2 linked regions of the Sus scrofa genome follow. The protein of the gene in region 1 interacts with the protein of each later gene in a biochemical or structural test. Links are inferred from orthologs where the notes say so. Each region holds a gene or a part of one and is shown on either strand. Other genes may lie near its edges. The genes, in order: RLIM and LHX3.

What was found.
Region 2: the proteins of RLIM (region 1) and LHX3 form a complex in vitro, tested with the Homo sapiens proteins (2 studies listed by BioGRID). The link is inferred for Sus scrofa from reciprocal best matches to the Homo sapiens genes RLIM and LHX3.

What each region holds. Positions count from the first base shown.
Region 1 is NC_010461.5:59,917,661-59,921,959, reverse strand, and holds the start of RLIM (E3 ubiquitin-protein ligase RLIM), read left to right. Parts: upstream 1-1,495; 5' UTR 1,496-1,847; intron 1,848-3,645; exon of another isoform or gene 3,646-3,709; intron 3,710-4,299. UniProt on the Homo sapiens protein: E3 ubiquitin-protein ligase.
Region 2 is NW_018084833.1:1,473,969-1,478,553, reverse strand, and holds the start of LHX3 (LIM/homeobox protein Lhx3), read right to left. Parts: upstream 2,913-4,585; coding exon 2,819-2,912; intron 2,031-2,818; exon of another isoform or gene 1,955-2,030; coding exon of another isoform or gene 1,948-1,954; intron 695-1,947; coding exon 523-694; intron 1-522. UniProt on the Homo sapiens protein: Transcription factor.

The sequences.
Region 1 (4,299 bases):
CAGGGAACTCCATTTTCTTCTACTTCTTTTATGATTTTATATTTTACATTAAGACACATTTGCCTTAAGAATATGTCAAGGAGAGGTTAATGCTACTGCCATAATCTGAGTATCAGGTTAGGAGCAATTGCTGGCCACTGAAGAATTCATTTTACACATTCTAGGTAAAAGTTCTATTGTATGATTATAGAACATAAGACAAAAGCTGAGTAGAGACACAGCACCTAAATTATATTCCTCTACTGTTAAAAATGACAATATCAAGACTGTTGAAAAGTTGAGCAGGGAAGTATGAGGGATATTGTTGTTAACTGCTTGGAGTGAAATACACTTATATTCCTGGCTGATGAAATGGCCATCATGCTGAGGCCTGTACGGTCTCAAAAAATATTTGAGGGCTACTATGAGCTCACTGGGGATATAAACAGTGAACAAAACAAAGGGGTTTACTGTTCTTAAATGGTTGAGGTAAACAAATATTTTCAAATATTTATTTCAAAATGCTTTAAAGAAAATTTAGCAGGTAAGGGAAGTTGTAATTTCAGGTGGGGTGGTTAAGGAAGTGTCCCCTAGGGAAATGACAATTGAGAAAAGGCTCGGATGATGAGAGCAAAGATATTAAGGGAAAAATTCCAGCCTATATAAAGTTGTAGAGGTCGGAACAAGTTTAGTTTGCTGGAAGAGTAGTGAGAAAGCCAGTGTAGCTGGAGTGTTACCTGAAAACAAAGAAAACAGAAAAATGGGACAAGAAACATGGAAACACCCTAAAGACCTGGGTACGGTTGTTTTTAACTGTGAAAGCGGGAGTTGGAAGCGGGATAGTTTATTCCCTAGATTCCAATTCAGGCATTAGTATCCAAGAAAAGTCTTTCCTTAACCGCCCTTAAATTCCAACGTTATCAGATTTTCCCACCCTTTTACAATTACCGCCCCCTTTCAAGTATTTCAGAATTACCATCCGAGGCCACCTCTGACCACTCTTTTTAAAACCGCAAATTCCTGTTTGTCGTGACACTCTCCCACCACTGTCCCTCGCTTTTTCTCCTTAGCATTTATACATATGTAACATATACATATATAGTAACTATTGTCCCTTCCCCAAGTAGACCCACGAAAACTGGGATTTTGGCCTGCTTTAATTTCCGCTGTATCCCAACATCTCTAACAGTGCTTGACACAGTTTACGCTCGATAAATATATGTCGAATAAAAGTAGGACGCTGTATTAACAGGCCCGGACTAATTCTGTGAATCGACGTCAGGTTAGACTAACACCACATTTCTCACTCTCGGAAAAGGGCTTCCAGCAATCAGATGGTGACGTCCTCCAGCTTTCAAAATGGGAAAGCAAAGGTTCCCACAATTCTCAGAACGTGAATTTCTCGCCACAATTCAAAATGGCGGAGGAGGGTGTGGCTTGTCACATGGTGGGCGTCACAGCAGCTTTCCTTTTCCAGGCGGTGGCCCGCCTTGCCGCGTCGTCAGCGGTCCCTCTCCTCCTCCCACCGAGCCTTTTCGAGGAATCGCCGGGGATTGGCTAACAGGCTGGGAGTGGGGCTGCGGGGCTAGACGCGGCATCATCACTTCCTGTTGTGGGCGGGCGTTTCCTGTCGCTGCTTGGTAACAATGGGGAAGATAATGGCTGCCTGAGCAACGTCTGCGAGCAGGCGCTGGGTTAGAGGCGGGTCTCAACCAGCGACTCATCGGAGGCGGGCTTGAGAGCGGCGGCAGGGGAGGCGCCCAGGAGCCCCGGCGGCGGCGGCGGCGGGGCGGCGGGGCGGCGGCGGCGGCGGCGGCGGCGGCGGCGGCGGCCGAACCGACCGAGTCGGATCACGACACTAAAATCGAGTAAGTGAGTCCTCCGAGAAATGGATGGAGAGCGAGAAGACAGCGGAGCTGTGACTGCCGCGTTCTCTCAAAATGGTCTGAGTGGCGCATCGTGGCGGAGGGTCAGCGCCGCCTGCGGACCCCAGGCGCCGGTTGCAGTGGGGGGCTCCGTGGCGTAGTCGCCGCTGCCATTTTAGTTGGGTGTATAGTCAACCGGCTCTTTGAAGAAGGGGAAGGAGATGGGTAGTACTTCCTCTCCGTGGCCTCGCGAGCCTCAGCCTGAGCCCTTCAGAACCTTAAGAATTTGGGGGAGGCGATTTTCGAGTGTTGGCCTTAGGCGTGAAAATCTTTGATCGTCTCAGGTTTTTCTCTCTTCGGTCCTCTGGAGACTTACCTCGCCTCTTTCCCCCCCTCCCTTTTACATGGCGGGCTTGGATTTAGGAAATGGGGGCAAAAAATCAGCCTGCTCTAAGTTAGATGTGAGAGCTCTTGGGCCTTTAGATTTCTCAGGATTTGCAAAACCCCATTTTGAGCCCTTCTGTAGGGCACTATCAATTAGACGCCCCCTGGGGCCGTGATGCCATCTTCCCTGAGGATCTGAAGCAAATGTGGTTTACTCCTTTGCTCAAATAACCCTGGCGTATCCTTTGCCAGATATCACTGCAAGCATTCCCCCCAAAAGGGAGGGAAAAGCCGTTGCGTGTTTGTTGTTTTTCCCTGAGTGAGTGTGGGAATTGGGCCAAATGATTTTGAAGTTAATTTCCTTTCGATCCGCCAACAACTCAACCCCTCCCCCCCCCAAAAAAAAGAGGCCTAAGGGTCTCGGCTTCTGCGGGCGGTACCTGCCACGTACGCCATAGCTTTAGTAACTAGTATTAACCGGTTGGGCTTCTGCTTCCTGAATGCTCAGTCCCTTTTTCCCTTATGCTGATTAATTTCAAGATGGAGGAGACAGCCACGTTCCTTCCCTAGACAGTTTCACCATACTTATTCCACAGGTTAGTCCGAGAATCTGAGGCCTAGCAGGCTTCTTATTTAGGTCATTCTTTCGTTTTGGGGCAAGAGGAAGCATTTATATCACATTGTGATCCATTATTTGCAAGGCCCCATAGTAATTTTTTGCTGGATATAAGGAGCCCGCATTTCCTGAATCAGAATTAACCGCAGTGGCTTTGGATGATTGAAGGGAGGAAGAAATAAACGTACTACTACAAATCATTTCTTTGATTCTTTGTGATTAAAGAACACTCATATCACCCCATCAGGTACATTATGTCCGTCCTGGATGACTTGAGAGCAGGCAGGCACAGTTAACGCTCTCCAAAAATCAGTTTTCTAAGTTGTAAAAATAAAGTGCCCAGGAAGACTAATCTAAAATTTTTTTAAAATTTCATTTAGTATACTCTTTTACTGAAAAAAATGCTTCATTCTTTAGCCTAAGATGTCCGGATAATCTTTCATACTTTAGTTTCTACCTTAGGCTAGTGTAGTGTGCCAAATAAGTTCTTGAAAGTAACCATGAGTATCCGAAAATAATTACTGTTATGATAAGGAAAAGCCTATTTTAATCAAGTTTATATCAAATGTAGATTGGCTCTCAACCTTTAAAGGAAGTCTTATATCTAACATATCCCTCTGACCTCAGTCTCCCCAAATATCCTAATATTGATGTTGAATTAGGTTGGGTTATGGTATGTGTATGTATGTATGTGTGTGTATCTAAAAATATATAGAATATGTATTTTTTAGGATGTGTCTGTTTCAAAGAAAATGTCTATCTTATCAAAGAGGAAGAATAATGGATTCTTTTTTTTTCTAGAGCAGAGAGTGAAGAAAACTAAAATCCAGTTTATTGTATTACAATACTATGTCATAACAGTCAGGTAATTTATTTTTTGTTGCGTCTCCTGATAATTTATGTGTAGAATGCATGTTTAAAAATAATTTATTCTGTTTTGCAGGCCCTGTAATTGGATGGGCTTATTTGATACATGTTAGTTGGTGTTGGGCATTCTTCATAATCAGAATGAGTGTTTTTCACTGGGTATTCAAAGAGTAGTGTTCCTGAGTAGCTGAAACTCACTAGTGCTCTATCTGAATTTTCATCTTTTAAAATAATGTGTGAGGTTTACCAATACCTGTATAGAAGAGAAAGAACGAGATAGAAACTTACTGCCTTAAATCAGTGTTGGAATGGGATGTGTACAAATAAATAGTGTTTGAATGTTTATTGAATAATTAAATGAACCATCAGACTATATTACAAGAATATAATCTCATATTTTGTGTGGTATTCGATTTTTTTCCTTTGAGATACCCAAAGTCATAATTGATATATAGTACTTTAATTAGTATTAACTCCTTTCATCATCATTAAGGTAACTGCATAATTTATTGCCCTAACTAGGATGTTTTTAAGAGCAAAAGGGACATTATTAATAATTATGCCTGGACAACAGTTGCAAACCTGGAT
Region 2 (4,585 bases), on another chromosome or scaffold:
CTCGCCCGGCCCTGCCCCTGGTCGCCTGCCCGCAGCCCCGGCAGCGCGGCAGAGCCGCACGGACTCGGGGAAGGGGATCCGGAGGCCCCGGGGAGCACGGCCGGCCTCGGCGCTGGATCAGGAAGGGGCATTGGAAGGGGCAGGGCCGGCGGGCGGCAGGTCCTTTGGATTCCGAGGTCTGTGTCCGGTGGATGCCCCATCCCCATCATTTAAGGACAAAAACAAGCCCAAAATGAAGAGAGAGTGAGCCCAGCAGAGTTCTACAAACTTGGGGGCCTCTTTTGAACAACCGCTTCAACAATTCGTAAAATTCATTACTTTGAAAAATTGCTAATGTGCCAGCCCAGCCGCCAACCGAGAAGCCCCAGGACACCCAGCCTGGGGAGCAGGAAGGGGTCTGGAGAGAGGCGCTTTCAGGGCTCCGGCCTTGGTTATCGTGGGGGTCCAGGGGGGTCCTCGGGGTGGCCCCCTTCCCCGGGGCAGACCGTAGCAACCCCTCCGCCCAGCGGCAGCCAGTCTCACTTGAAGAAGTCGTCCTTGCAGTAGAGGCTCTCTCCGCGGCTGAAGCAGCGCTCGGCCAGCGGCGTGTGGCAGTCACTGCACTTGAGGCACTTGCTGTGCCAGTGGCGGTCCAGAGCCTTGAGGATGAAGCGGTCCAGGATGTGCTGGTCGCAGCCGGCACACAGTGGGATCTCTGCAGGCAGAGGAGCCCCCGTGGTCGTGGGCACAGATCGGGGGGCCTCGAAGGCACCATCCCACCCCCGCCCCCAGGACCAGGGCCGCGGAGGGGACTGCCTTCCCTGCACACCCTCGTCCCCGGCCGGCTTGAGCTCAGGTTCAGGGAGTGCGAGTGCGGGGCGTGGAAGTCCTCAGCCTGGCCCACAGCTAAAATTCAGGACAGATGAACTAGGTTTAGAAACAGGCCCCTGGGCAGGAAGGTGCCCAGGCCACCCCACAGGCCTGAGCTCATCAACTGTAAAATGTTTCCAGGGCACAGAGGGGCACGCTGAGCTCAAGCAAAAACCCCGACCCGAGGGCTCTCTCAGAGGCTGGGCTGGACGTCGGGCCCTCAGCATCCCCAGAGGCCAGGCATGTGGGGGTCACGGGGCATTCACCATCCAAGCGCCCTCACTACCTGCACAATTAGGCGTCGTGGTACCTAGAGACACCTTGCAGGTGTGGCTGCTCAGCCCCGGGGTCCTGTCTGCAGGCCACCAAAGTAAAAACTGGCGTCCCGTCTTTGGGAGGCCCTGCTGGCACTTGAGTGGACTGGACTCACGAGCACACAGTAGGTGGTTTGCCCCCCACCCCAACACAGAGACACTTGGGTTCCTGCTAATTCTGCTCCCGGGGACTACGGGCCGCCAGGGAAACCAGGCTGGGGAAAGGCAGGGGTTGCCTTCCGGAGCCACAGGCTCATGAGCGGCTTTCAGGGTGTCCATGGGGTGAGGACTCCCCGTTAATTTGGAAAAGGTCTCCGGAGAGGAGAGAGCCATGAGCAGGAATTGGAACCACTCAAACATCACGCGAGCTCACCTCGCTACCTCGCTGCGGGACACCCCTCCAGCCCTAGGCCGGCCCGGCAGGGGGTGGAAGGGCCAGAGAGGGCTCGACCTCTGCTCCAGGCTGAGAGAAAGTGGATCAATCTCCCTCCCACAGCCCAGGAAACCCGCGAAGGACAGGGTCCCGCGTCGGACAAAACCGCGGCCCTGGGAGCAGAGCCTGGGGAATATGCTGCCCACCCTGGCCCCCCATCCGGGCTGGCGATGGCAGGACGGCGAGGACCCCCGGCACCGGCTGGTGGCTGGACAGGCCGGCGCGGCGCAGATTCAGCACCGCGGCCCGGACAGCGCCCCGACCGTGCTACCCCTGGAGCCCGCGGCCGGCAAAAGCCGCTCCCGCCGCGCCCCTCGCGCTCTCGCGAAGCGCCGGCGGCCCGGGTCTTACGCTGCATGGCGACTCCAGCCTTGGCGGGGTCTCCTACCGTCAGCGCTGGCGGGGCCCAACAGAACCTTGCGCGCCGTGGCGCTCCGAGCCCGCGCCCCTCCCTCCCTCTCTCTCGGCCCTCCCACCTTTTCCTCCCAGCTCCTGTGGCCGCCCCTCCCAGGAACCGTCGGAAAATAAATAAATAAGCAGGAGCAGGATGAGACCCCTCAGCCTGGATGCAACCCCTTTCCCACCTGCCCCCGCCCCCTGCTCCCACCCCCGGGCCACCTCCTTCCCAGTCCTGTGGGTCCCGCCTGCTTGGAAGCCTGCAGCGAACCGCCCCAGTTCGAGAGCGCCAAGGCGGTGGGAGCGAGGCTGCTGCCACCCGCAAGCTGAGGGCTTGCCTGTAGGAGGACTGCCCTGAGTGGGCCAACACAGCAGGTGCCTGTGCGTGCGGACCCCGAAACCCCAGCTGGGGACCCTCCACGGCCAGGACGCAGCTCCACGCTGGCCCTTTCATCTGACTCTCTTCCCCTGGAAAGGGTGAACGGTCTGGGCACCAGCAGCCTTCGTGGGGACCTTCCTCCCCGTGGTCACTGGGACCCACGTTTGCTCTCTGCACACTCTCCCCATCAGGGAGAGGGTGTCCGAAATCGGTCCTGGGACCCAGAGCGCTCCCTGGCCCGAGCAGCACCAGCGCCACGACCAAACGCCCGACAGCACAGCTCCAGGGGCTCAGGCAGGGACGAGCTGTGCTAGGGCCCTGACACCCGGTCCGGCCCGCGATCCCCGGCTCCCGCAGCTTCCGTGGCCAGGCCGGGAGAGGAGCGAGGACCTCCAGGTCTCCTCGGGGTCCGCCCTCCCAGGCGCAGCCGCTCGGCCGGGCACCCACCTCGGCGCAGGTCCTCCCTCCGCGCCAGCAGCGCCAGCAGCAGGTCGCCGCCCGCCGACTCCCGGCTGGGGCCCAGCTCCCCGCGCGCTTCCATGGGTCCCGCCGCCTGGCGCCGCGGCTCTCGGTCCCTGGACTTGCCGGGGGCCCGGTGCGACCACGGCTTCGATGGCCCCGGGCCGGCGTGCCAACGTCTCCCGGCGCTGCTGGGCGCTGCGCCCGCCGGCCGCCCAGGGGCCCGGAGCCACGGGCCGCGCGGAGGCGGAGCGGCCGGGGGCGGGGCCGAGGCGCGGGGCGGGGCCGGGGTCGCGGGGACGCGTCGGGGGCGTCCGCTGGCTTTGCGCGCCTCGGCGCGGAGGACCGCGGGGCTCTGGCGCGGCCCCGAGGGCCCGGAGCCGCAGGGGAGGAGCCGGGCCGGGGCTGCCCGAGGGCGCTTCCCCGGGCCGTGCAAGTTCCAGCCCCGGCGCCGGCGTTGGGCTGCGGCCTGGGCCCGGGCTCGCCCGGGTAGGCTGGGGGCCCAAGCGGGGCGGGGACGGAGGGGAGGGAGCCGGGTCCTACCGCCACTGAGGCTCGGACTCGAGAGCGAGCCGGAGCTGGGAGGCTTGGTCACAATGTCGAGCCGCCCGAGCGCACCCCGACCCAAAGAGGGTGAGTGTGCCGCCCTAGGACTCAGCGAAGCCACCAGGAGCCAGACCCGAGCTGGGACCTGCCAGCTCTGAGCAGCTTCTGGGCCTCCCCCTGGAAACTACAGCCCAGAGTGGGCGCAGGGAGGGAGGGTGAGTCTCCGGAGGGGAAACCCAGCGTCCTTCGCTCCGACTCCTCCGGGATGCGGCCAAGATGGACTCCAGGTCAGGAGGGACGAAGCTGGGAAAGCCAGGAGCCACTCTGACTCCCCTCCACCGCAGCACAGGAGGAAGGCTCAGTGCCCGATTCTCCCACACCCTGCCCCCAGTCCAAACAGGTGAGCTTGCAGGACCCACCGTCCTCATCATGTGAGATGCTCGCCTACCCCAGAGGGCAGGCCCAGGCCAGGCCAGCCCCCCGCAGCCACCCACCGTCAGGACACGGCAGTGTGGACCCTGGCAGCGCAGGGCGTGGTGAGGGCAAGGGACCTCAGGAAGTGTTGGGGACCAGAGGTTGGTGCCACCCCCCCCCCCCGCCCCGACGGGAAGCTCCGCCTGGAGTCCAGTGATGCCCCAGCATCACCCTGCCCCCTCCTGGCCTCCAGTCGCCTGGTCTGTACACGAACTTGCAGGCCGGCCTGGAAGGATCTCGGCAGGAAAAGCACAGCTCCTCTTTGCTCTGAGCCACCCTGCGGCTCAGTTTGAGCAGGAGCATGTGCCTGCCCCCTCGCTTTGCCCTAAGCTTGCTCCCCAGAAGGACAGGGCGAGAGGGTCTGAGCCAGGGAGCTGAGAGGGTGCTGGGTATGCTGGGCCGTCGGCGGCCGTTGAGTGTCAGCTGCTGCAGAGGCCTGCCTGGGACGAGCCATGTGTGGTCTGACTGGAGCAGGGGCGGGCGGGCCCATGCGCTGGGCATCTGGCCGGCCCGCCAACAATGCCTCCATTATCTCCCAACGTCTTTGCCATCGATGGAATGGCCCCTGGGGAGGGCGGTTTAGGCAGGAGACTCGACCCAGGGGCCTCTGTGCTGCATCTCTGAGCTGGCATTAGGGTTGCGGAAGGAGGCCTGGGCTGTGTGTGGGAGCTGAGAGGCGTGGGGTCTCTGGATTTAGGCGGCTCTTTCTCTACCCGCCCCCTTCACGGTGCCTTC